3 linked regions of the Canis lupus familiaris genome follow. The protein of the gene in region 1 purifies or fractionates together with the protein of each later gene. This does not show direct contact. Links are inferred from orthologs where the notes say so. Each region holds a gene or a part of one and is shown in the gene's direction. Other genes may lie near its edges. The genes, in order: MAPK9, DUSP8 and DUSP16.

The links.
Region 2: the proteins of MAPK9 (region 1) and DUSP8 purify together in Homo sapiens (affinity purification with mass spectrometry; 4 studies listed by BioGRID and IntAct, with this or other methods). This does not show direct contact. The link is inferred for Canis lupus familiaris from reciprocal best matches to the Homo sapiens genes MAPK9 and DUSP8.
Region 3: the proteins of MAPK9 (region 1) and DUSP16 purify together in Homo sapiens (affinity purification with mass spectrometry; 6 studies listed by BioGRID and IntAct, with this or other methods). This does not show direct contact. The link is inferred for Canis lupus familiaris from reciprocal best matches to the Homo sapiens genes MAPK9 and DUSP16.

Annotation. Positions count from the first base shown.
Region 1 is NC_049232.1:1,713,825-1,721,389, forward strand, and holds part of MAPK9 (mitogen-activated protein kinase 9), read left to right. Parts: intron 1-3,909; coding exon 3,910-4,039; intron 4,040-6,653; coding exon 6,654-6,712; intron 6,713-6,890; exon of another isoform or gene 6,891-6,989; coding exon of another isoform or gene 6,990-7,027; intron 7,028-7,565. UniProt on the Homo sapiens protein: Serine/threonine-protein kinase involved in various processes such as cell proliferation, differentiation, migration, transformation and programmed cell death.
Region 2 is NC_049239.1:46,259,927-46,268,269, reverse strand, and holds the start of DUSP8 (dual specificity protein phosphatase 8), read left to right. Parts: upstream 1-3,392; 5' UTR 3,393-3,478; intron 3,479-3,732; exon of another isoform or gene 3,733-3,929; intron 3,930-8,343. UniProt on the Homo sapiens protein: Has phosphatase activity with synthetic phosphatase substrates and negatively regulates mitogen-activated protein kinase activity, presumably by catalysing their dephosphorylation.
Region 3 is NC_049248.1:12,344,027-12,351,567, reverse strand, and holds the end of DUSP16 (dual specificity protein phosphatase 16), read left to right. Parts: intron 1-875; coding exon 876-2,052; 3' UTR 2,053-4,641; downstream 4,642-7,541. UniProt on the Homo sapiens protein: Dual specificity protein phosphatase involved in the inactivation of MAP kinases. Dephosphorylates MAPK10 bound to ARRB2.

The DNA of each region.
Region 1 (7,565 bases):
ATATAACTGAAGAGAGATTTATCAATCTGAAAAATGGATCAGGAAAAAATTCCAGGATGAAGCCCAAAGAGACAAAAGTATAGAAAACTACAGAAGAGCAGATGTATTAGTTTTCTAGTGCTGCATAATAAATTACCACAAACTTGGTGTTTAAAGAAAAAAAACAGCCATTTATAATATCATAGTACTATAGGTCAGAAATCTGCATGGGCTTGCCCAAGTTTTTGCTCAATATCTCACCAAATTGACATCAAGATGTTGGCTGGGCTGCACTCTCATCTGGAGGCTCTGAGAAAGAATGTGCTTCCAAGCACAGTCACAGGACCCAGTTCCTTGCAGCTGTAAGTCTGAGGTCTCCATCCCTTGCTCTCTGTCAGCCAAGGGCCACCACACTTTTAGAGCCTCCCACATTCCTTCTTACAATGCCGCCCCCCCCCCCATCTTCTAGGCTGCAGTGGTCCGTCTAACCCTTCTCACGATAAAAAATCTCAGACTTTCTCCTCTTCCCAGCAGCCAGAACAAACTCTGCTTCTAAAGGGCTCTTGTCATTAGATTAGCCCCAGCTCCTGTTTCTTAATTTCATGAGAGTATGCTTAGCCTTGTTGTAGGACATGGGTCAATATACGTAAAAATCAAATGTCTAGAAATTGGTAGAATGAACCACTTTGACAGTGGTTTGACATTATCTACTAAAATATATACAGTCTCATCCTTAGCTATGTACTTATCAGAAATGCATGCATAGGGGACTCAGAGCCCTGTGTGAGAACATTTATGACCATGTTTTTTGTAATCGCTTGCAAACTGAAAACAACCAAAGTGTCTATCAACATTATGTCATATAGCCATGCAAAGGCATATTATAGCAATGACACAGAATAGCTACACACAACAACAGACGAGTCTCACAAATGTAATGTTGAGTGAAAGAAGTCAAATTTCAAAAACTAGGCAAAAATAAGCCATGGGAGGTGGGGAGAGGGAGCTTGAAAATTCATGTTTAGCTGGTTGAAGCAAGGAAGTGATTATCATAAAAGTCAGATGTAGTCAGAAGTATCCCTCCTGTCATCTTTGAGGGACAGGAGGGATAGTGATTAGTAGATGTTGTGGGGGTTATTGGAGTGATGCCAACAAAACATGGCTCTTTGTGATAAATCATTAAGCTGAGGAACAGGACAGGAAGTTGAGGAATGAATATCACCAGTACTCAATGTTGGAAATCTGTGGAGTTCTCAGAGAAAATTGAATGTGAAGTCAGAAGACAAACCATCAGTCAAGGCTGAGAGCAAAATAAGATCATTTATCTTCCATACACTTTTTCTGAGGAAATTCCTTGAGGATGTATGTATTCTACCAAGAAAGAGAATATGAGAACATGTATGACCAGAAACATGGGGGCCAGTGAAAAAAATTCCAGGGATGAAGCTGTGCAGCAGGTCTTGAAAGAAATTGCAAGAAAAAAATATCTTCAAGAATGGAATAGACCCCAAACAATATGTGAGTGAGAAGGTAGAAAGTACTGGGGATAGCCTTCAGAAAGGGGTATTTTTCTTCTCCCCACCCCCCCAACTTTTATTTGAGAGAGAGAGAGAGCAAGAGCAGGGAGGAGAGGGAGAAGCAGGTTCCCTGCTGAGGACCTTGGGATCCTCACCTGAGAGAGAGGAAGGCAGATGCTTAACCAACTGAGCTACCCAGGCTCCCTTTCTTTTAATAAGAACAATCCTTCGTTAGGAACTTGTGGTGGAAAAGCTAGAAAGTCATGGTCCACATGTCAAACAGCTTTAAAAGGACATGATGTTTGAACAACTGATGGAATTGAAAAGAATAAGAAAAGAAAATCCATTTGACTGATGCCAGAAGTCGTCTCATTCTCTTGTGAGTGGCAATGAGGGTCATGTGATCCTTAGAAAATGAAATGTCATCTCAGCTCTGCAATTAGGAACTTTGACATGTGCCTGCATACATAGTCTCTTTGTCTTGGTTTTCAACTTTTGGACACATCCAAAACAAGCCCAGAAGACTTAGTTGTAGAGTAAGGAGATATGTTCTCTGGCTTGACTATTTGAGACAGAGTTTGGAGGAAGGGAAAGAGAGCAGAGCGTGCTGAAGGCCAAAGAGATGGACTGTGATGGCCTCATCTTACATACTGGAGGTCCTGAGGTTCCCTTGAAAGTTGATAGAACAAGAAGTTTAGGCACATTGTTTGGAGTTATAAAGGTAACCAAGGGAAAAGTTTAAAATAACATGAGAGCAAAAAGCTGGGAGGAGTTCGGGGTTTCAAGTAAAGTGACTAAATCTTTAGTTTTGGGGGAGTAGATAGACAATTTCTGAAACTGATAAATGAGAAAATAATGATAAAAGTATATTTGGAGTTGAGGAGTGAGCACAAGAATTCAAACCAGAAGTAATTGAAGGTGGTTTTTCCAAGGATTGGCACTAGTAGTGGAAATAGGTGTCTGTACACGTCTGCCCATTTGGCTCATTTTGAACAAAAACTTTTGAGATCAAAAAAGGTGTAACTGTTGTCACATTTTAAGACTGATAAATATAGGTACAAGTACACATGTATATTAATTGTTGCACAAGTAGATTTATCATTAACATTTTATAATTTGTATGAATGGTGCATTTTCATATGAGCATGAAGATTTACATATGTGTATACATGTACACATAATGTGACCTGAATTAGAAATAATTACAAAGTAACATGATCTCTAGCCTTCGATTTAAAAAAGATTGACCTGAGGATTGTTGGCAGAAAAACACTAATAGAAATGAATAAGTGAAAACAGTGTTACAAACTGAATAAAATAAATACATAGAAATAATATATTTTTTAAGATTTTATTTATTTGAGGGAGTCAGCATGAGGGAAGGTGCAAACGGGGGGAGGGGCAGAGGGAGAGGGAGAAGCAGATTCCCCCAACAGCAGGGAGCCCAACTCAGGGCTCGATCCCAGGACCCTGGGATCACAACCAGAGTGGAAGGCAGATGCTTAACTGACTGAGCCTCCCAGGCGCCCCCCTGGGTAAACTATGAGCGAAGCATCATAGTTTAAATGATGCTTCGGTTCTTAGGTGGTCCTTAGCAGCTTTTGGCCTCTGATGAGTAGCTGAAGGGTAATAATAGCACCAGGAGTGCCATTAGTACTAATTTGTACAGAATGTACAATCAGGCTACTCAATTTTTCCTATTTTCTGGAAGAAAAAGGAACCATGGCTTTCAGCTGGGAACTTGAGATGCCAGAAACACAGCCTCTGCAAGATTTTATTCATACTATAATGGTACAAGGAGTTATTTCTAGCAGGATTTTATATATAGTAATTGCTTACATTAGGGGTTTTGTATCTTAGGGATTTTACCACGAGCTGAGATGCTGGCTTCTGTTTTCTTTTAGATTCTTTTGTCTGGGGAAAAACACAAACAAAGCTTCTCATAATATTCTTCTCATGAGCTCAACCCTCTCCTCCACCGTGATATGCCAGAATATATTTATATTTTATTCTGTGATATCCAGTGACTGTTTCAATTTATTGGCATATTTAAACTGAAGACTTCATTTCTTGACTGGTCTTACATGCTTTGTATTGAATTACTTGTTTCCAAATACAATAATGTCAACCAATATAATGAGAAGTCAGTGTGCCTCCTAACTGCAGCTGGCATGTTCGTGCTTCTGCAAAGGAGTCAGTCCATTCTACCCTCTTAGCCCCCTTGCCTTGCTCTTGGTGTGTAGAGGTACCCTAAGTGGAAACAAGCTGAAAGGTATTTCCTTATTTGTTACTTAGTCAAAAAGAGAATACATTGAACAAAGACCAAAAAGAGAATACATTGAACAAAGACCGTGCACTGCAGTCTTTTCCAGAATCATCCTAATGGGTTCCTTATTATATTTCCTGATTACAGTGCCGCTTTTGATACAGTTCTTGGGATAAATGTTGCAGTCAAGAAACTGAGTCGTCCTTTTCAGAATCAGACTCATGCAAAGAGAGCTTACCGTGAACTCGTCCTCTTAAAATGTGTCAATCATAAAAATGTAAGTTATGTCTATGTTTTCCTCTGATAATATGGTCAACAATATGGTAATCTTGTGGGTCTTTGGAAATACCTTGAGTTCAGAACTCAAGTAAACTAGTAATAACAGTAACTATTTAAATGGTTCTATTTTATTGACAAAAATTTTTTAATTTTATTTATTTGAGAGAGAGAGAGAGCATGAGTGAGGTGAGGGGCAGAGGCAGAAGCCGACTCCCCACTCAGCAGGGAGTCCGATGTAGGGCTCCATCCTGGGATCATGACCTGAGTCAAAGGTAGATACTTAACCGCCTGAGCCACCCAGGTGCCCCTTATTGACATAATTCTTAATCAGCATTGGGGGAATTGAAGTCAGCCAGAAGCATCATGGTTCAGTCTAGGTCTGATAGCAATATCAATTAACCCTGCATCATTTGACTTTCACTATTTCTGTTACTATAAAATGGCAATAATATTGACCTAACAAACTGAGAAACACCTAGATAATTTCTTAGAAAAACATTGTTCTACAAAGTGACTTTTTACTTTGTATGATGGAAGTTTCATTTCTAAATAAATGTGAGTAGATGGTGTGGTATTCAAGATAGCTGTACTTGACATCTCCACAGAAATCAAAGCACTGTAAATTTCGAGGAGAAATTGTATGTCTTCAGAAAATGAGGTACTCAGGCACATTGTATGTCCACTACTGGTCTCAGAGCATGATTCTGATAACCTTGCCATGTTATAAAAATCATAAAATGTAATGTCTGGAAGGGGCTTTGGAGATCACCCCTTGTGACCCCTTTTTTTGTTGTGGGGGATGAGTATTCAAGACTACACTCAATTCTACGTGACTCCCTTTGTTTTAGCGTTTATGCTGGATCTTTATGGTACAGGAACATTATGTACAAAACTAAGATAGGTTTATTCTTTTGAGTCTGTGGTTTGAATTTGTTTTTAATTTCTCCAATGCATACTTTATTTTTATACATTAAAATTTTTTTCAGGTTACATGAAACTATGATTATTATTTTTTAAATTCAAATAAAATAAACAAGGCAAAAATCATTGAATCCCTCAGAACCCTACCATTAACGTTTTGGTGAGCATTCTTACACATGTATCATATGTACATGAGCACAATCAGCTATGTTACTGTGAGTCCTGCCTTTTCCCTTAGGAATGTTTCTGGACCTCAAATACATTACATAGTGTACTATTATTAATACACAATAATTTATTTAGCCAGTCACCTGTTACTGGTTTTTAGATTGCTTCCAGTTTTTGCTATTATAACCAATGCTGCAATAAACATCCTTATACATGCATCTTTGCACACCTGTCCAGGTGAACTTCTTAGCCAGAGCATATACTGCACATTTCTAATTTTAATATATGCTGACAAATTGACCTCAAGGAAGACTGTCAATGAAAAGTTAATGAAAGTTTTGCACTTTCATTAAGATTATCTGAGGGAAAAAAAGAATATCAAAGAATGTGTTTTATTTCAGAATCCCCTCAGGACTATGTACATATTATACATTTTTTTGTTGTTGTACTTTACCAACCTGAGAAATGACAAATGATATTTTATTCTTACTTGTGAGGTTAATTTCTTTCCATACTTTTTAAGCCATTTATTGTTAAAGAACTTGTTTCCCATGGCCTTTGGCAATTTTTCTCTTGGGCTGTTTTTCTCTTTCTTATGCATTTATAGAGGATCTTTGTATATTAAAGCTATCAACCCTCACTTCTTTTCCATTTCAACTCATTTAGGTTGCTTTTGCCATACCAAAATTTTTTTTTTTTTTTTTTTTTTTTTGGTTTGTTGGTCTTGGTTTGGGTTTAACACAACACATGTCCTTGGTTTCCTATCATGCTTAGAAAAGGCGGTTCTTCACCAGGATTACATAAATGTTTATCCACATTTTAATATTTTGTGGTTTCGTGGTTTACATTTAAATCTTTGTTCCATTTTGAGTTGATGTGAAGATCAAAGTATGGATTTGGTTTTATTTTGCACTCGGTCAGCCAGCCACCCCAATCCTATCTACTCAATCATTCATCTTTCCCTTGGTCATTTAAAATGATAGAGGACATGTGTGATTCTCAAGCAGTGGGACTCACTGTTTAACTGTTGTGGTACCAGGACCAATGTCTTGTGGTAAAGGTCTTTCTAGAACTCTCTTAAGTAAATACATAATACTGTGAGGGATTCATCTTCATCATTCTAAAAATACAAGCTTCATATTTCAAAAGTTTAGAAATTTGTAGATAGTATTTCAGTTTTCAGAGTTAACATATTGCTTTCATATTTTTTTGCCCGTAATTTCTACTTTTTTATGTTCAGAGCCCGAATGACATTATGTGTTAAAATTCTGTCATAATAAGATACTAGAGACACATAAAATGTGATGTGATTAAAAGCACATCTTATTTCCAGGATAAGAATCCTAATCATTTAACTTTTCTCATATACCATGTAACAGGATGTTTTGGTAAAACTAATAATAAATACTGAGCTCTGCTATGCTTTGTTTTTCAGTTTTAATACATTTTCATGTTAATTTTTATAATTATGTAGAGTTAGAGTTACCTGATGTGCTGAGGTATAATAAACCTTCTCTTTTCAGATAATTAGTTTGTTAAATGTGTTTACACCACAAAAGACTCTAGAAGAATTTCAAGATGTGTAAGTATCGTTTTTACTCAGTAATACACTATGTATCAAAGACTAAATATTTAGAAAAGAAAGTAACTGCTTTTTTTTTTATTTAGGAAATGTAGGTAGCAATATATTTAGCCACTTTTTTCTGTGGAGGAGAAATAGTAAGGAAGATAAATAATAATATTCAACTGTTTGTACCTAGATATTATCATCTCCCTAACAGAGAAAGGATGATTGAAAATAATTCTTCAGAGCAAACAGTGACCATTAATGCTGCCCATTTGCTTTGCTGAAATATGAAATGTTTTTCTCCAGCCTCCTGAAAGCCAGGATTACAGGGTTTGAGGGTTTATAATTATTATTTGAAATCGTTACATCATTAAATGTTATGTGTTTCCAAAATCTGAAACAGAATTATCTTACTAGCAATAAAATATTAATTTATCGTATTGAGGTATAATGCACAACTAATGCTAAACTTACTGGTGTGTTCATTCAACAAATATTTGATTGCCACTCATGTGCTAGGCACTCTCTTGGACTTACTTGAGGGAACAAAACAGGCAAAAATCCCTTTTATTATTAAAAATTGCATGTAGTCATACTCACTTTTAGAGCTCTGAGAGAGAGAAGAAAAATAACCAACAAAAGTCAGGAAATGATGCTCATAAGGACTTAGCACATACTCTGGAAGAAGCAGAACTGGGTTTAGGGAATCAGAAGTGCTGGGACTTGGAAGTCAGGTTGAGATTGTAAGCAGGGTGGTTGGAGAAAGACCTCACTGTATTGGTGACATCTGAAGAAAGCCTTCAAGGAAGTGAGGGGTTAGTCCTATAGATATTTGAGGGAAGGTAGGTTCAAATAAAAGGAACAGGTA
Region 2 (8,343 bases), on another chromosome or scaffold:
GACACACGTTTACTGTGAGTCATTGGCTGAGACGCGGAGTTGCAAACCATCGAGAAGAAGTGGACCTTGCTTTTCTTTTTGCCGAGAGGAGGCTGCGTGAAGGAAAGTCCACCCCGAGCGTCTTCCCCGCGGCGGGTCGGGCGCAGGCGGGCGGCAGAGGGCGCGCACGGACCGTCCGGCTGCGCCCGCACCTGCACCTGCTGGGCCCCGAGCGCGGTCGCCCCGGACGCTGCCCGGCGCCTGCAGATCCTGCTCCACAGCTGGGGGCGCGGGCCCCGGGGCGGCGATCTCCCGCGGGGAGCCAGGGCCCAGAGGGCCGCCGGGCTTGGACCTGGCCCCGCCTGACACGGCGGCCACTGTGGACCCCGCGCAGGCTTCCCCAAGCCGTCCCTGCCGCTCCACGTCTCCTAGACGCCGGCGTCTCAGCGCCCAGGAGGCCGGCCCTCTGGGGGAGCCCAGCGGGAGGAGCCAGAATTCAGCCCCGGGGCCTGGAAAGAACCTAGGGCAGGGCTAGCGGCTTTGGAGAGTCACAGTATCTCCCTACCCACTGCCCCACTGTTGCAAAAGTCCAGGTTTTAAATGCTCCTTTGCACGAGAAATGACAAGATTGTCAAGTAATCGTGGCCCAAACATACTTCCCTCGCCAGCAACAGTCCCGAAAAGCTAGAGGCCACCCCCATCCACTCACCTACTAGAGTTTCCAGAAGGAAGAGAGGACACCATCGCCTGCTCCTCAGTTTACTGCCACCTGCTCAGGCCTAGCTAGGAGCTGCCCAGGGCACAACCGGAGTTCTTTGGAGCCATTGGCACTCGCCTGACCACATCTGGGCCGGGCAGAAGAGGAGCCCCCTTGGACACCTTCTGCCTTCCTCCTCAACTGGGCTCATCCTGGGTCTAGCCTCGGAGCAAGCCCAGCTCATCAATCTCAAGACTGACAACCTCCCATGTCCTGCCAGTCCCAGACCTTCTGGACCTTTCCATGCTCTCCAGGGGCCTCATGTGTCCCCTCCAGCCATCTGGCCCCATCTGAGGCTCAGCCTGAGTCCTCCTGTCCCCTCCCAGGGCCCAGCACTTTTCAGACTTGGAGTGAGCCCAAACACAGCAAGGCCCCACTGCATCCCCCACGCAGCACTGACCTGGCCATGCATCTGGGTTGGACATTCCCCACAGCTCAGGATCAGGCCTCTGGAAGACCTCTCTTCTCAGCAGATTCCAGAGGATTCTGGCTAAGGGCAGAGAAAGAGGAAGGACCTGAAGCCACCCCAGCTCCAGCCCCAAATAGCCCCTGGGTTACCAGTGCGTCCTTCCAGGTCAGGCCCAGGTGATTGTTTGTCCCTGGTGCTGGCTCTTTGCCAGGAACACGCTCTCCCCCTACACACACAGCTACCCCCACATTCCTCAGGCCAGCCAGGAAGGAGGCCTCAGGCCCTTGCTAAACACCTACTCTGTAAAGCTCTGAGGCTGCAAGAGGCCCAGCCTGCTCTCTCAGGAACAGGAATGAGGATCAGCAAAGGGGCCCTCCAGACACCCACCCCCAGCGCCCTCCTGCAGTGATGCCCTCCTGCACGCCCACACAGTGCTCTGGGTCCTGAGGGCTCATCTTGGCCCAAGCCAGTTGCACCTGCTTCATTTTCTGTGACCCTTCATTCAACCAGGGATGCCAAAAGTGGTCCCAGGCTCCCTCCCTTTGTGGGAAGGAGCTGCACTTCCTGAAGGCCAAAGCGCCTTTCAGAGCCCCAGGGTGGCCCTGGGAGACTTGCCAAGGCTAGGGGGCTCCAGGCTGGAGGAAAGATGGCCCTCACTCTCCAGCAGGCAGCCTTGGGTGGGGGTGGGGGGGGGCTGGTTAGAAACAGCTGTGGTGTCTGGTCACACCTTCCCCCTCCCTCAAAAATAATTACCTTTGAAGGCTCCCATCAACTGTCAACTCCCTGGCAAGGATCTTTGTCCTCCATCTCAGAACTAACTCCCCAGTGCCCAGCACAGGGCCTGGCCCCAGAAGGTGCTCAGTAAGGACTGGATGAACCTGGAGATGTGTATCCTCCTGGGTCTCCTGGTCCTAGCTCCCTGACTGCCCCCAGGTCTAGGGAGGGTTCAGGTCTTTCCTGCCTAGGGCGGGGTTGGGGGATGGGGGTGGGGGGAGTGAGGGGGGGGTCCCTCCTGCACCCAGGGTGCCTCCACAGCCTCCAGCCATTGCTTGCATGCCACCTCCTGGGGTGGCCTCCAGACGGCCCACCACCTTGTTTCCGGCCCAACCCTGCTCAAGGGGTAATTACCTAGGTCCCCCCACCCCCAACGCGCCCTCTGGACTCCCTGCACCCTGGCCTCCAGCGCGACTTTCCCCACCGTGGGGGGTGGGGGGGGGGGGCGGGGACAGACCCTCAACAGCCTTCTTTGTGTGGGGAGGGGAGGAGAACACGCAGGGTGCACCCCATGAGCGCTGTTCTCCCTGGAAGCACCAGGGGCCAGAGGTGACCCGGTGGGGCCAGGGGTCAGCGCTGCACTGGGGACCCCCTCGCCGGACTCCAGGAGGTGTGTGACCCCACACGAGCCATCCCGCCTCCGAGCTCCCCATCTGCTGCCCAGCGCAGTGGAAACCCAGGTTCCCAGCCCCGGGGTCGTGGAGGCGCCGGCGTAGGTGCCGCAGGTGAGGTGCTCGCCGGGCCCAGCTCGCCGCGGGGTCCCCGGCCCGCAGGCCCCGCGCAAACAAAGGCTGTGGGCCGGGGGAGGCGGCGCCAGCTCCGGCCGCGGCGGGGGAGGGGGGAGGGACCCTCGCGCCAGGACCCGTTCGGCCGGCCCCTCCTCGGGCGTGAGTGCCGCGACGCCCGGCGTCCCCGGCTGTGGGCTCGGCGCCGGGGCTGGGAAGGCTTCCCGGAGGCGGGGGCCCCGGCGGCGCGGGAGGGACGCTGTGCGGCGCCTTTAAGAGCCGGTGCCCGGGCGAGGGGCGGAGGGCAGAGGGCGGAGGGCGGAGGCCCGCTCGCCCCCCCCCCCCCCCGCCCCGCTCCTGCCCCCCGCGGCCGCCGCCTCTGATCTGCACCCGCGGCCGGGCTCCGGCTGACGTCACCTGCCCTGGAGCTGCGCGCGCTGATTGGCTGCAGGTGACGTCAGGGCCTTTTTCGCTCGGCATGACCTCATCCCCGCCGGCAGCCCCGCCCTCCGCCCCGGGCCTGTCACTCGCGGCCGAGCGCGGCGGCCCAGCCGGCTCCGCGCCCCCCGCCCGGACGCCGGAGCCCGAGCCGCGCCGGAGCCGCACCGGCCGCGCCCGCCGAGCCCGGGGTGGGATGCGCGCCGCGAGCGCGCGTGCCCGCCCGCAGTGCGCGCGCCCCGGCCCGAGCGAGCGCTCCCCGCGGCGGCGGCGGCGACGGCGGCGACGGCGACGAGGCCCGCGCGCTCCCCCGGCCCCTGCCCCGGCTGCGCGGGCCCCCGCCGGGCCCATGGGCGGCGCCGGTCCCCGTGCGCCCCGGACGCGAGCAGCGGCGAGGTGAGCGGGGGCGCCGAGCGGGGGCGCGGGGACACGCGGGGCGCGGGCGGGGAGCCGGTCCGGTGGGCGCAACGGCGGGAGCGCTGGGGCGGCTGCACCCGGCGGGCGCCCGGGAAGAGGCGGCGGCGGCGGCGGCGGCGGCGGGCCGGAGGGAAGAGGCCCGGTTCAGGGGGACGCGGCGGGCCGGCCCGGGAAGCCCTTCCCCCGCCTCCCACGGCGCCCAGCGGACCCCCGGCCCGGTCCGCGCTGCCCCCGCCAACCCCCGCTTCGCCGCCTTTCTCCTCGAAATTCTTTCTTATTTTGTGGGGGGAAGGGCATGCAGTAAGCACCCCGGACCTGGGCCCTCTGCGCAGACCTGTACGGACCTCAGCCTAGAGCCCCAGACTTCCCAGGCTGCCCCCCACCGCACCAGGGAGGCCCCAGATCGGACGGTCGTTCCTGCCCCCGCAGGGTAGGGATGCAGGCCCTGACCAAAGGAGCGGAGGGTTTGGGCCTGTGGGAGGCTTAGGAAAGGGCCCATTCCGAGCTCGGTGGGGAGGAGCTGCAGACCCCTGTCCCCTGTGTGTTCAGGCCGCCACCGGTACCCCCACCTCAGGGTGCTCAGCTGGCCTCTGCAGAATAAAGACCATCCGCCAGCCTGCTGCAGAGGCAGCAGCGGGTGCTGGGGGAGGGGCTGGCACTGCCAGGCTGAGTGCAAGCAGCCTGCCTCAGCCTATCTGCCCACCTTGGTGGGGAGGGGTACCCCAGTGTCTGGCCTTGAAGGGAGGGGGCCACAATGGGCCCAGCTCCCATCAGGTCACCGCGACTGGGAGAATTTGCCTCCTGACTTCCCACTGCAAAAATGGACTGGCTTCTGCAGGGGGGAGTTGGGGGCCTGGGTGCTTCAGTGATTGCGGGGTGCAAGGGGCAGTCCATGCGGCAGAGGAGAGAAGTGGCAGGGTCTACGGTGATGCCCAAAGTGTCATGGTGCAGCCTGGGGTGGAGGTGGGGGTGCTGCAGATCAGGGGAGCAGCATTCTGCTGTGCCCCCTGCCCCTGGGAGTCTGAGCGGAGGTCTGTGGGTCCAGACACTGCCCTCTGCCTCCCTCAGACCTTCTTGCTGGGAGGGCAGCTCAGGAAATGAGTGTAGCATCCAGTACACCCCCCCCCCCCCACCTCCTGCTCAGGGAGGACAGATGTCCCAGGAATTCACTCCTCAGATGCTTAATAAGCACCTGCCCGGTAGGACAGATCATGTGACTAGGAGCTGGGAGTTCATCCTGAATACCTCCTGCTGCAGTCAGCCAAGGGCTCCGGGAGAGCTGCTGGGCAGGTTCTAGTTCCCAACAACCCCCACCCCGTTCCCCCCCTGCTGCCCTCAGCCCTTGGGAGGGCTCCTGTGCCCCCGAGGCTGCCTCCAGGAACGAAGGCTTCCATGCAATGGATGCAGAAGGATGCTTGAAGGCATCCTCTGCTCCAGAAACCTACCCAGCATCCTCTCCTCTCCAGCTGAGGCTGACCTTGGAGCCCAGATGTTTCTGCTGCACGGACAGAGGGCCCAAGGGGCCTTGGAAGCCAGGGGGTATCCTGGCTGCATCTCCAGAGGGTGCAGCTCAGAGGGAAAGCAGATGAAGGAGCCAAACCATGGCAAGAGGGACATGGGTCAGACTCTGACCACCAGAACTGCACAGGCTGAGTCCACTTCTGCCTGGACCGCTCCAGGCAATGACCATAGATATCCCGGAATGGCCCACATGTGTAGCATGGGGGGACAGTGACCAGAGTCCTGCAGGTCAGTAGGGCTAGCACAAGCCAGGCAGGAACAGAGGAAACCTAGATCTGTAGGGTCCTGAGGGACCCACACGCTGAGACCTACTGCAAGCTCTACCCAGACCCCTGTGAACTGAGGGGGCAGGGCCCCACCCCATTGTCTCCCAGGCCCATGGCCTCCACACCAAGTCAGCCCTACTTGGCCTTGCTATCAGTCCCTCTGGGACCAGGTAAAGGCCAACTTGGGTCCTGTTCCCTGCAGCCCAGGGAGATGAGGGGGCAGGAGTGAGAGCATCTAGGGGTCCCTGATGAAAGCAGAGGAGGGGAAAAATGAGCTGAGTGGGTGAGAGCTATCTACCAGCCTATCTCCTGGCTTCATTGTGCAGCAGTTTTTGACTCCAGAGGTACCCCTGGGTCACAGTGAGCTGGACATCGCAGCATAGTGGGGGCCCCCTGCCAGCTCTTCTCGAGGGTCTACCTATGAGTGCCAGGCACCACTCGGGCTGGAGACACCAAGGCCCACCCATGGCTGACAGTCCTGACCGTTGTCTCTGGAGGTAGTGAGTTCCCCGTCAGTAGGTGCTGAGCAGAAGGCCTTGGTGAAGATGCTATCCATTGGGAGTTTTTAGGCCACGCATGTCCCTTGCTCAGGGACAAAGATGTGCCCCATGGAGGCCCTGAGAGCCAACAATGTAGAGAGATCGTGGGGCTGGCCCCTGGGGTTTGAGTGTCCTGGGATTTGAGGGGATTTGGCCCCCAGAGGGTGAGGATGAGTGCACCCAGTGGCCACATGTACCAGCACACATGTCTGCCTTGTGAGTAGTTGCATGAGGGGATGGGGTGGCTTGTGGGAAAGAGGTGAGCAGACAGGGTTCAGACAGGGTGCAGAAGGGCATGTCACAGCACAGGCTGCCCTGTGTATGTGGCCTTGCAGGGCAAGGGGAGCTGCTTGCCGCCTGCTGGGTGGTGCCCAGCCTGGTGGGGAGGGGCCTCCAGTCTTCGGAACTGCCAAGTCTCCCTAGCCACGAACCCTTTGATGGGGGTGTCTGTAGTTGTGCCTCCATCCCACCGGCACCGAGACTCTAGAATAGCAGGTGATGGATACTGTTTCCCCTCAGTTCCCAAGAATGGGTTCTGGATTGAGCCTGGAGAGGGTCCCTGAAGTCAGAGAGGACTGAGACAATATCTGTTTTCTCTGTGCCCACCAGGCCTGTTCTAGCCCCACTCATCTGCTCAAGACTGTCCTAAGCTTCCCTAGCCCTACTGGAGCTCTGGGCCCAGATCCATCCCACTGCAGGCAAGGGCCTATCCCAGGAGCTTTAGGCTCCTGGAGTCCCCGTGGGTGAGGATGCACTCCCAGGATGCCCGCTCAGGGCAAGAGGTCTCGTGCAGGAAGTGCACTCCGGCCAGACCTTGGCCACTTGGAGAAGGCTTCCCCGGAGGTGGGAGTGAGGGGGGCTGTGCGCACAGGTGCCCAAGGCAAGGAAGGTTAGGACCAGGCTGAGCAGGGGTGGGGTTGGTGGGGGTACTGAAGGAATGTCACACCTGGGCTTTGGGGCTTATGTGGACTTGGCCCAGGGTTATCCCAGGTCCCAGCTACTGGGCACCTGCAGGAAGCAAGGGGTGGGCCCTGCCGTCCTGCAGAGCCAGCCGGCTCTGTGGCTGTGCCGCAGGAGCGGTGGTTGCCTGGCACCTCTGTGGTTGCCATGGCAACGACGGAGGTGCTAACTTGCTAATGAGTCCCCCTCGGCTGCAAATAACAATACTATAGCGGTTAATATGGCTGAGCTGCAGAGTTCCTTGGGGGAGGTGGGGCTGAGACCAGGTACCGGGCCCTGGAACCTCGCTGCCCACCCTTCCAGCCCCCTGCCCCTGTCCTGGAGCCCTGCAGCCTGGCTGGGCTCATCCCTACCCTCCTCCCCTCTTGAGCCTGCCTCCCTGCCTGTCCTACAGCCTGGATTCCCATCTGTGGAGGGTGCACCCCTCCCCACCCCAACTCCTCTCCTGTCCAGTTAAGGACCTGAGGGCAGTGTTTGCGCCCAGTGGCTGCAGGGAGGGCAGAGGATCTCTCCTAGCCCCTTCCCTTGTCCCTGCCTCTGGCATTTGTTGCTTCAGGTGGAAACGATCTGTCCCTCACCTGAAGGATGAGGACACTGAGTGCCCCTCTGCCCCGCTGCAGGTAGCTGTCTCAGGGACCGGCCTTGGAGCTGGGCTCCTAGTCACACATCCAAGAGGCTTGTGGGGGATGTGGAGAGGGTTCTGCTAGCTGTGGCCTGTCTGCCACACCACAGACACGGGTTAGAACTCAGAACAGTTCATTCAGGAATTGAATCAGGGACCCCTCAGCAGATGAGCACCCTCTGGCAGGTGGGACTCCCCTCCACCAACAGGCAGGACCTCCCCAGCTGGTGAACACTCCCCCTCAGCTTGTGGGGTATCCCTTTTGAGGATGAGGGACAGCTGCTCCAGCTGCACTCCCAGGCCTTACCCCCACAGTGGAGGAGCCCGGGGAGCAGGGTGTCTGTGGATGGGATCCTCGGGCCCTGCCCACTGACGAGGGCCATCCCAAGCACTTCCCTTTGGGCCAACTCCCGTGGCTCAGCCCAAGGCTGCCCTTGGACTTGGTCTACACCTGCCTTGCGCCTAGTTCTCTGTGAACTCCGCCATCCCTTCCACCAGCCTGGGAGCTCGCCTGAGGAATGAGCACCAACATCACTGAAATGGGACAGTGTCCTGGGAGGGGGGCTCCCCGGGGGGGGGCTCCCCCAACACCATCTGCAGCTGCAGCTTGGGGGCTTGCTGCAGGGCTCCCCCTCCGCCATCTGACCACCAGCCTCTCCCGTGTCTGAGCTAGGTGGGGGTGTGGTGGAGGGAAGACCCCAAATGAGTGGCAGTGGTAGAGGCCTTGGGGCCTGTCCAGTCTTTGTGGTGTCACCTGAGGCTGATCCCACTCCTACCGCAAGCCTCAGTCTCCCCATCTTTAAAGTAAACTTGCCCTCATACTGTGTGCCTCATGGTGGGCTGTGAGGCTAGGTGAGCCTAAGAAAGGCCAGTCCTGGGGCACCTGAGTGGCTTAGTGGTTGAGCATCTGCCTTTGGTCAGGTCATGGTCCTGAGT
Region 3 (7,541 bases), on another chromosome or scaffold:
AATACGAATCTTCAGTGTAGTTTCACTCCTGCATCTTGTACGGAGTGAAGGTCAGAAGCCACTGAAGAATTTGTTTACTGTCTCTAAGAGTCTGTGTTTGCACAATTAAACATAAGAGCTGTTTAGTACTGGTTTTTACCGCTCAATGATTCTTTTTTAACACAGTGGTTACAAAAATGGACCTAGACATGAGGCTTGGCTTTCAGTGACTTCGGGCACATCACATAAGGACTTTGTGTCCTTGTGTGATGGGGTTAATACAGCAACTTGACATGGGGAGTTTTGGGGACTGAATGAGATAATACTGTGGCTAATGCATTAGCCCAGTGCTTAGCACACACAGGCCACTGAGAGCTGGTTGTTCTTTCCTGTTGAATACTAAGAGAAGGAGCTCAGGTGTGTGCTTGGTGCTCTGGCCATCTGCTATCCACTTTTCTGGTCGTTAATTAATACATGAAATGTGCTGAGGAAGTGACTGGGGGGAGTTAGAAGATGTGATACTGGGGAACTGAAGCTGGAGAGTGACCGTTCCCCTGGACTCCCAGCGGTGGCACCAGCATGGGGGTGCGGGGGCTAGGCCCCAGCAGTGAGGACAGAACCCTCGCTTGTCAGTTGCATTGGAAACTTTGGGTCCTTGAAAATAAGAAGGCTAAAACTAGAGCTTTTAGGGCCTGGGCCCTGTCTTTCTAGCATTCTCCAGGGACATGTTGTATGTCTCCCTAAACTTTCAAACCAGTCCTCTTCCATAGGTATTTGGGAGGCTCTAATAATTCTCTGTCATATTTGTTCACTTAATATATTTTATTTTCATACTGTTCTTAAGATAAATTGTAGTTGCAAAATTCAGGATTTCTGTTTCTTTCCTCTCTTCATAGATTTGTGAAAGAAAAAAGACCTACCATATCTCCAAACTTCAATTTTCTGGGCCAACTCCTAGACTATGAGAAGAAGATTAAGAACCAGACTGGCACATCAGGGCCAAAGAGCAAACTCAAGCTGCTGCACCTGGAGAAGCCAAATGACCCTGTCCCTGCGGTCTCCGAGGGTGGACAGAAGGGCGAGATGTGCCTCGGTCCACCCTGTGCCAACTCTGCTACCTCAGAGGCGGCAGGCCAAAGGCCCATGCATGCTGCCAGCACACCCAGCACACAGCCCCCGCTGTTGGAGGACAGCTCTCTGGTCCAGGCGCTCAGTGGGCTCCACCTGCCCTCAGGCAAGCTGGAAGACAGCAGTAAGCTCAAGCGCTCCTTCTCTCTGGACATCAAATCTGTTTCATACTCGGCCAGTGTGGCGGCGTCCTTGCATGGCTTCTCCTCATCAGAAGACGCTCTTGAATACTACAAACCTTCCACGACTCTGGAGGGGACCAACAAGCTCTGTCAGTTCTCTCCCGTTGAGGAAGTATCAGAGCAGACCCCAGAAACCAGCCCAGATAAGGAGGAGGCCAACGTCCCCAAGAAGCCTCAGCCTGTCAGGCCCTCTGATAGCCAGAGCAAGCGATTACATGCAGTGAGAACCAGCAGTGGCAGTGCCGGCCCACGGTCCCTCATCTCCCCGCTGCACCGGAGTGGGAGCGTAGAGGACAACTGCCATACCAACTTCCTTTTTGGCCTCTCCACCAGCCAGCAGCACCTCGCCAAGTCTGCCGCTGGGCTGGGCCTCAAGGGCTGGCATTCGGATATCTTGGCTCCGCAGACCTCCACCCCTTCCCTGACCAATAGCTGGTATTTTGCCACAGAGTCCTCTCACTTCTACTCTGCCTCGGCCGTCTACGGAGGCAGTGCCAGTTACTCTGCCTACAGCTGTAGCCAGCTGCCCACCTGTAGTGACCAGGTCTACTCTGTGCGCAGGCGGCAGAAGCCAAGTGACAGAGCTGACTCGCGGCGGAGCTGGCATGAAGAGAGCCCCTTTGAAAAGCAGTTTAAACGCCGAAGCTGCCAGATGGAATTTGGAGAGGGCATCATGTCGGAGAACAGGTCTCGGGAAGAACTGGGGAAGGTGGGCAGCCAGTCTAGCTTTTCAGGCAGCATGGAAATTATTGAGGTCTCCTGAGAAGAGACACACTTGTGACTTCTGTTGACAATGTTTTTCTTGTTCACAAAAAAAAAAAAAAAAAAAAAAAATTCCCTGTAAATCTGAAATATATATATATGTACATACATATATATTTTTGGAGAATGGAGCTATGGTGTAAAAGCAAAAGATGGATCAACACAGTTCTCTCAACATCTGTACTTGAGAGATCAGCTAATATTTCTCTCAACAAAAGTGGAAGGGCAGATTGCTAGATATCCTGCTAGACAGATGAAAAATTGTATGTGGTGAATTGCACATCCTCTTGTTCTTACCGAACCTGGTTTTATTTGGTGTTGGAGGACAAAATGCCCCACAGTTTCCATGTTGTGCTACAAGAGGTCTTGAGTGCTAGTCTGTCCAGCCCCTTCCGTGGTGCACCTTAGTGCTGAGACTGAGCCAGCTCGTGGGTTGGGCGGGGAGACCCCATTAGACACACAGCCTCGTGGTAAACGCAAGGGAAATGACCACACCCAAAACGGATTCACACATTCGAGCTCAGCTGGCCGCCGAGTGATGCGGGCCCTATTCTGCTGCGCGGACCGTCAGGGGCCTTGCCCAGGCCTACTTTAGAGCAAACCCAGTACCTCAGACCAAAAGTCGGGGCTTTTACCACTACCAAGTCTGGTAGCCTTTCTTCTAGGCGTCGTGAATAGGTAGGTAGCTAGTCACACTTTTCAGACCAGTTCACACCGTCTCTGCACAAATTCCCAGTTGGGCCTGGATGGAGGTAGTTAAGTTTTTCTTCTTCTCAGCTTGATGAAGAGGGCAAACCATCTAGGATTCAATTCAACAGCCAGTGATGTGTAGCATAGGTCGGGAGGCTAACCAAGTCTACCTCCCTCCGCGTAAATCAAAGAATTGTTCAAAATGGGGTGGTTAATCCTTTAAATAAAGATTTACTTGGTTTAAGCCAGATGTGAATTTTTTCGGGTTGGTAGCAGAACAGCAGCACCATCAAGTTCTCAGCCAAAGTCGATTTTTCCCATTTCAGTTTCTTTGCACAGATACATTTTGTAAAAACCTAACAGTTAGGTAGACTTTTATAGGAAACTACCAAGAGGGAGAAAAACTCTGGAAAGATTAAAGAAGTAAAATTGCTAAGGAGAAAAGGAAACTCCTTTTTCTCCATGGTTTTATTCCCCTGAGCATGTGATGAAGGGGGGTGGGGGGGGGAGTTCTGTAATTTCCTTAGACTTTCCAATTTACTAACAGGGCTGAGAGGCTAGTTACATGAGGAGTGTTCAGAATAAAACAGTGGAGGAAGGTGAGGGGGGAAGGTGGTTAGGTTTTGTTTCGTTGTGAGCAGAGTGGGAAGCCACAACCAAGCTGTTCTCAGAAACACTCCTTGGCATTTTTTTAGTAGAAGGGACACAGCAAAATGGGGCGGGACCAAGGTGGTCTCTCGTTTCTGACCTACAATCACTATATGGAATCAATCCTGGCAGCTGAAAATAGGAATTGATTGGAACAAGTACACAAGTGATTAGTACATATCTGCTTTGAAACTTCCTGGCTTGAGTCTTGTCAGCTACAGTAGGGTCCTCTTTTTAAAGCCTTAATTCACGTCAGCAGCTTTTTTTTGAGGGGGGGGCGGGTATTGTCATTGTTCTTTACTGTAAGTGTAGCTAGTTGCTGACTCATATCTCAGGTTTTTCTGTGTTCAACAAATGGATAGTCCTTCGGCAAGGATGCGACTTCATGTTTCCCGTGATGACTGCTGAAACCAGCACAGGATGAGTGACGTGATTCAGAATGGATTTGCTCATGCTGATTCCAAGCATCGCGTAACATAACTGGTTGTATGTACACCAGTAACGTGCTGCGATCCGGGTGTGAGGTGAAGGCAGGAAGAAAGTACACCGCTTAGGGAGCTCGGTGTTACTCTATTGAAAAAGTGGTGTTAGAATGATCTGAGTTAGTTTTTCTACATAAGTTTAAATTTGGGATGAACTCAGACTTTCGCCAAGTTTTCACAGTAATTTTTTGATGTGTTATGCAGACATCAGATGTGAAGAGCTCACGTCTTCCAGGGGCTGGTCACAACAATGTAATATTTTTAAGAAATGAAAGCAATAGCTCCAGAGTTAAGTATGTCGCAGGAGGGTTGGGGGACATCCAGTATTCGGGATTTCTCCCGGCCATGGTTCCTTCCTTCCTGTGACTGTGAGGTAGTCCTGCATGACCACTTGGTCTCTGATTGCGAACGTCACATCATCAGTTCTTGGGATCGAGACGGCTGTGGCTGGGTGGCAAGTGCTGGCACTGCTGGGGTGGGGCGGCTGGCTCCCTTCAGTTCCGAGTCCTAGGGGAAGCCCTGGAGTGTACCAGAAGGATACAGAACGGTGATTTCTAAAGAGCAAGACTAGATTTCTATGTGAGAAATGCTGGACAACGATTTAGGACATTTGTAAAGTGAGGTGGACAGACTGTATAAATGTTTAATATGAATATAGCATTCTTTTGGAGTAAGATGCTATTGAATGGTTAAATCGTGCATTTCTCATTTTGATGTTCTTGTATGTTAATATGAAATAAAATCAAAACTGGTACCTGTTTATACATAAATATGAGAAAGGACCTCTCCTTGCAACTATAAACTTGGGAGAGCAGCATCCGAGTTGTAGGAGGTGGTGGTGGTGGAACGGGTCCTGCTGTCCTCACGTCACAGAGGACTTAGGCCAGAGTAAGGTGCTGAGGGCAGCAGATACAGTGTGTGCTCCATCAATCACACGAAACACCGGATCCTTAGCCAGCAGGTCAGTGCGGGCCTTCGTGCTTAAGTGCGTCTACCAAATGCACACTACAGTACAGAACCTGGGCACGTACGTGGGACTACTCGCTGACTGACCGAATGGAGAATAAGTGCAGGGTAGGAAGGAGGAAGACCAGAGGCACATTCATGGTGCATCATGATGGAATATGTAAATGGCTTCAGAATTCTTACAGGAAAAGTGGGGTGGGCAGTCCTTGTTCTCGTCCCTGCCACGTACATCTTGATGACCTCTCTGCTTATAAATGACACTGCACGGGACAACTTAGGAGACTAGTAGCTTAGTCTCATCAAAGAATTTTATGCATCAGGAATAAAGTTTTTACCTTCATAAATAAATATGCTTCATAATAAAGCATATTACCTTGGAATGACGAGAGAATCATTGAGGGTGTCATTTAAATCGGTTGGGACAGGTTTCTGAGTAGAAGTTAAATTTTAAAAATTTAAAGGCAAGAAGGATTGTACTGGGTGAGCAAAGACTGGAGGAGCTGCCTTGGCCAGGATTTTGCAAAGAATGGGAGGCGCGCAGGAGATGGAAGTTTAAAGGGGTGTCGAATCTTCCAGCTTCCGGAGATGGATGGGGTGGTGTGTGGGAGCAGGTGTGTCAGGGAGAGTCTTCAGATGAGAGGGTGCAGATCTTGGGAAGCCCCGAAGGTCATGCCAGTTACAATTGAAGTGCACAGGTTTGGGGGTCTCAGCAGTCGGGGCAGGCTAGTGTCAGAGGACTAGTTTGGGTCTGACAAGGAAAATTAGCACAGGGCTCAGGCTAAGGGGAGGTGAGGAAGGCAGGAGCGGCCAGGGGGGCTGTGCTGCGATTAGGGGACTGGAACTTTTTGCCCTCAAAGCCTTCGCTGTCATTTTAAATACTGTCTGGTTATGCTTTCTGACACCACGCAGAGATGTTTTAGATCTAGTAAAATTTGTCTAGGTGCTGTTCTCTGAACTTACTCCCCTGGATCTATAAATGGAAGAGGGAAGTGAGTTATTTCTAGCATTCCGTGGGGCCCATTCATCCTCGTACCGCATAATTATCCTCGGTTAGATCTTTAAGGTAATTGCAAAAGCAACTGGGAAATTACATCACTGTCTTGGCAGATGTTTACAAGTCAATCCTGTTGCTGCGGTGTCTGTGCCCCGGCGTCCAGTCAGGTTTATGTAAAACCCAGTTCCAACCCTTTAGCTCCAGCTGGGTCCCCAGGAACTGCAGACCGTGACCTCGCAGGAGCGTGTGGCGGGCACAGGGCCCGGCTGGCGGAGGGCGGAGGGCGGAGGGCGAGCCCCGCTATGCCCTGGGCGCGCTCTGCTCAAGGGAGTCGCGATGGTTTCAAAGGCTCAAGTTCAAGTGCTTGGTGCACCAACGCTTTGAGCGTGAATCCCGCTCACTGTGTAATAAAAACCAAGGCGAGTGGTAGGACTCTGCCTTGGCTGGTGAAGAAGTCGGAGTCTGAATCCCATCAGGTCTCACATGGACACGGATAACCCAGCACAACGCTCCTCAGAGTAGGGGACGCCCAGGGGCCCGCCACGGGGGGGGGGGGGGGGGGGCTGGTTGGACTAGTAAGCAACTAGGTCTAGTTGCCACAGATTTCGAGATTTGGTTTGAGGCGGGTGAGTGATGAAGTTACCTGGTCCCCCTCCCCTCTGTAGCGGGTCATTTGAAAGGGAGCCACGTGCCCGTGCGTGTGCAAGAAATTCCGTGCTCCTCACTATGAACGTGTGAACAGCGATGACCTCTCCGAGGGGCCACAGTAAGCTCCTAACGGAGGGCTGAGTGGGCAGGGGGGAGAGGAAGCCAATTATTTCTCTTGGCGTTAAAAACGTTTTACACCCCAACATCCCCCAAGAAGAAAAACTGTCACTTCAAAATACCTTTCAGTCTTTAGTATTGATACTTTAAAAGTTGTTTCCTACTGAGTACTGTGTATCTGCGCTTAGCTGGGGTATGAACGAGTAGGGAAGACATTTCGCTCACCCTAGAGTGCTCACACATGCTCACTCACAGCTCACACATGCTCACTCACAGCTCTCATTTCTGAAGATCGCGGTGTTGCCTCGGGACTTGCTGAGGGAAATGCCCAAGCTAGGGAAGTTCTACAAATGCACGGAAGCCTGCGCGCACGACGTCCCCGAGGGCTGTTGCTTTATGGAGCCTTGGGAACAGCATGTTCGCGATACCCAGCGTGTACCTTTTCCATAGGTCAGTGGGAAAAGCACAGAAATGCCTAGAGGAGATTTTAACAAACCCAAAGCCCCAGCGTGTTCCTGGAGTGCACTCCTGTGTCTCAGGGTATCGAGTCCTCAACATTCCCAATACTGACTGTGCAGAGGACAGATGACGTTCCTAAGAATGACGAACTTGAAGGGAAACAAAGACCTGGCATCTGTCAGATTATACAGGCTCTCGGAAATCTACGCTCTCAAGCCCAGTTCATCCCCTGTAAACTTCGCTGCGCACAGGCCGTGGGGTGACGGCAAGCTTCTACCAGCTTCCACGTCAACGGGTCCAACAGGTCACTGCAGTTTCCGGGCCGGTTGGACGCTGCTCCTCAATACAGGTGCGCAGACCGGCTTGGCAGAACAGGTTCTCAGACGAAGGGAGCCACCGGATACTTCCTAATTTCTAATCAACAAAAAGAAGGAAACAAGCTCTCTTGGTTGGGAGCTCAGAATTCAAAGTCACGTCTGAAACGCA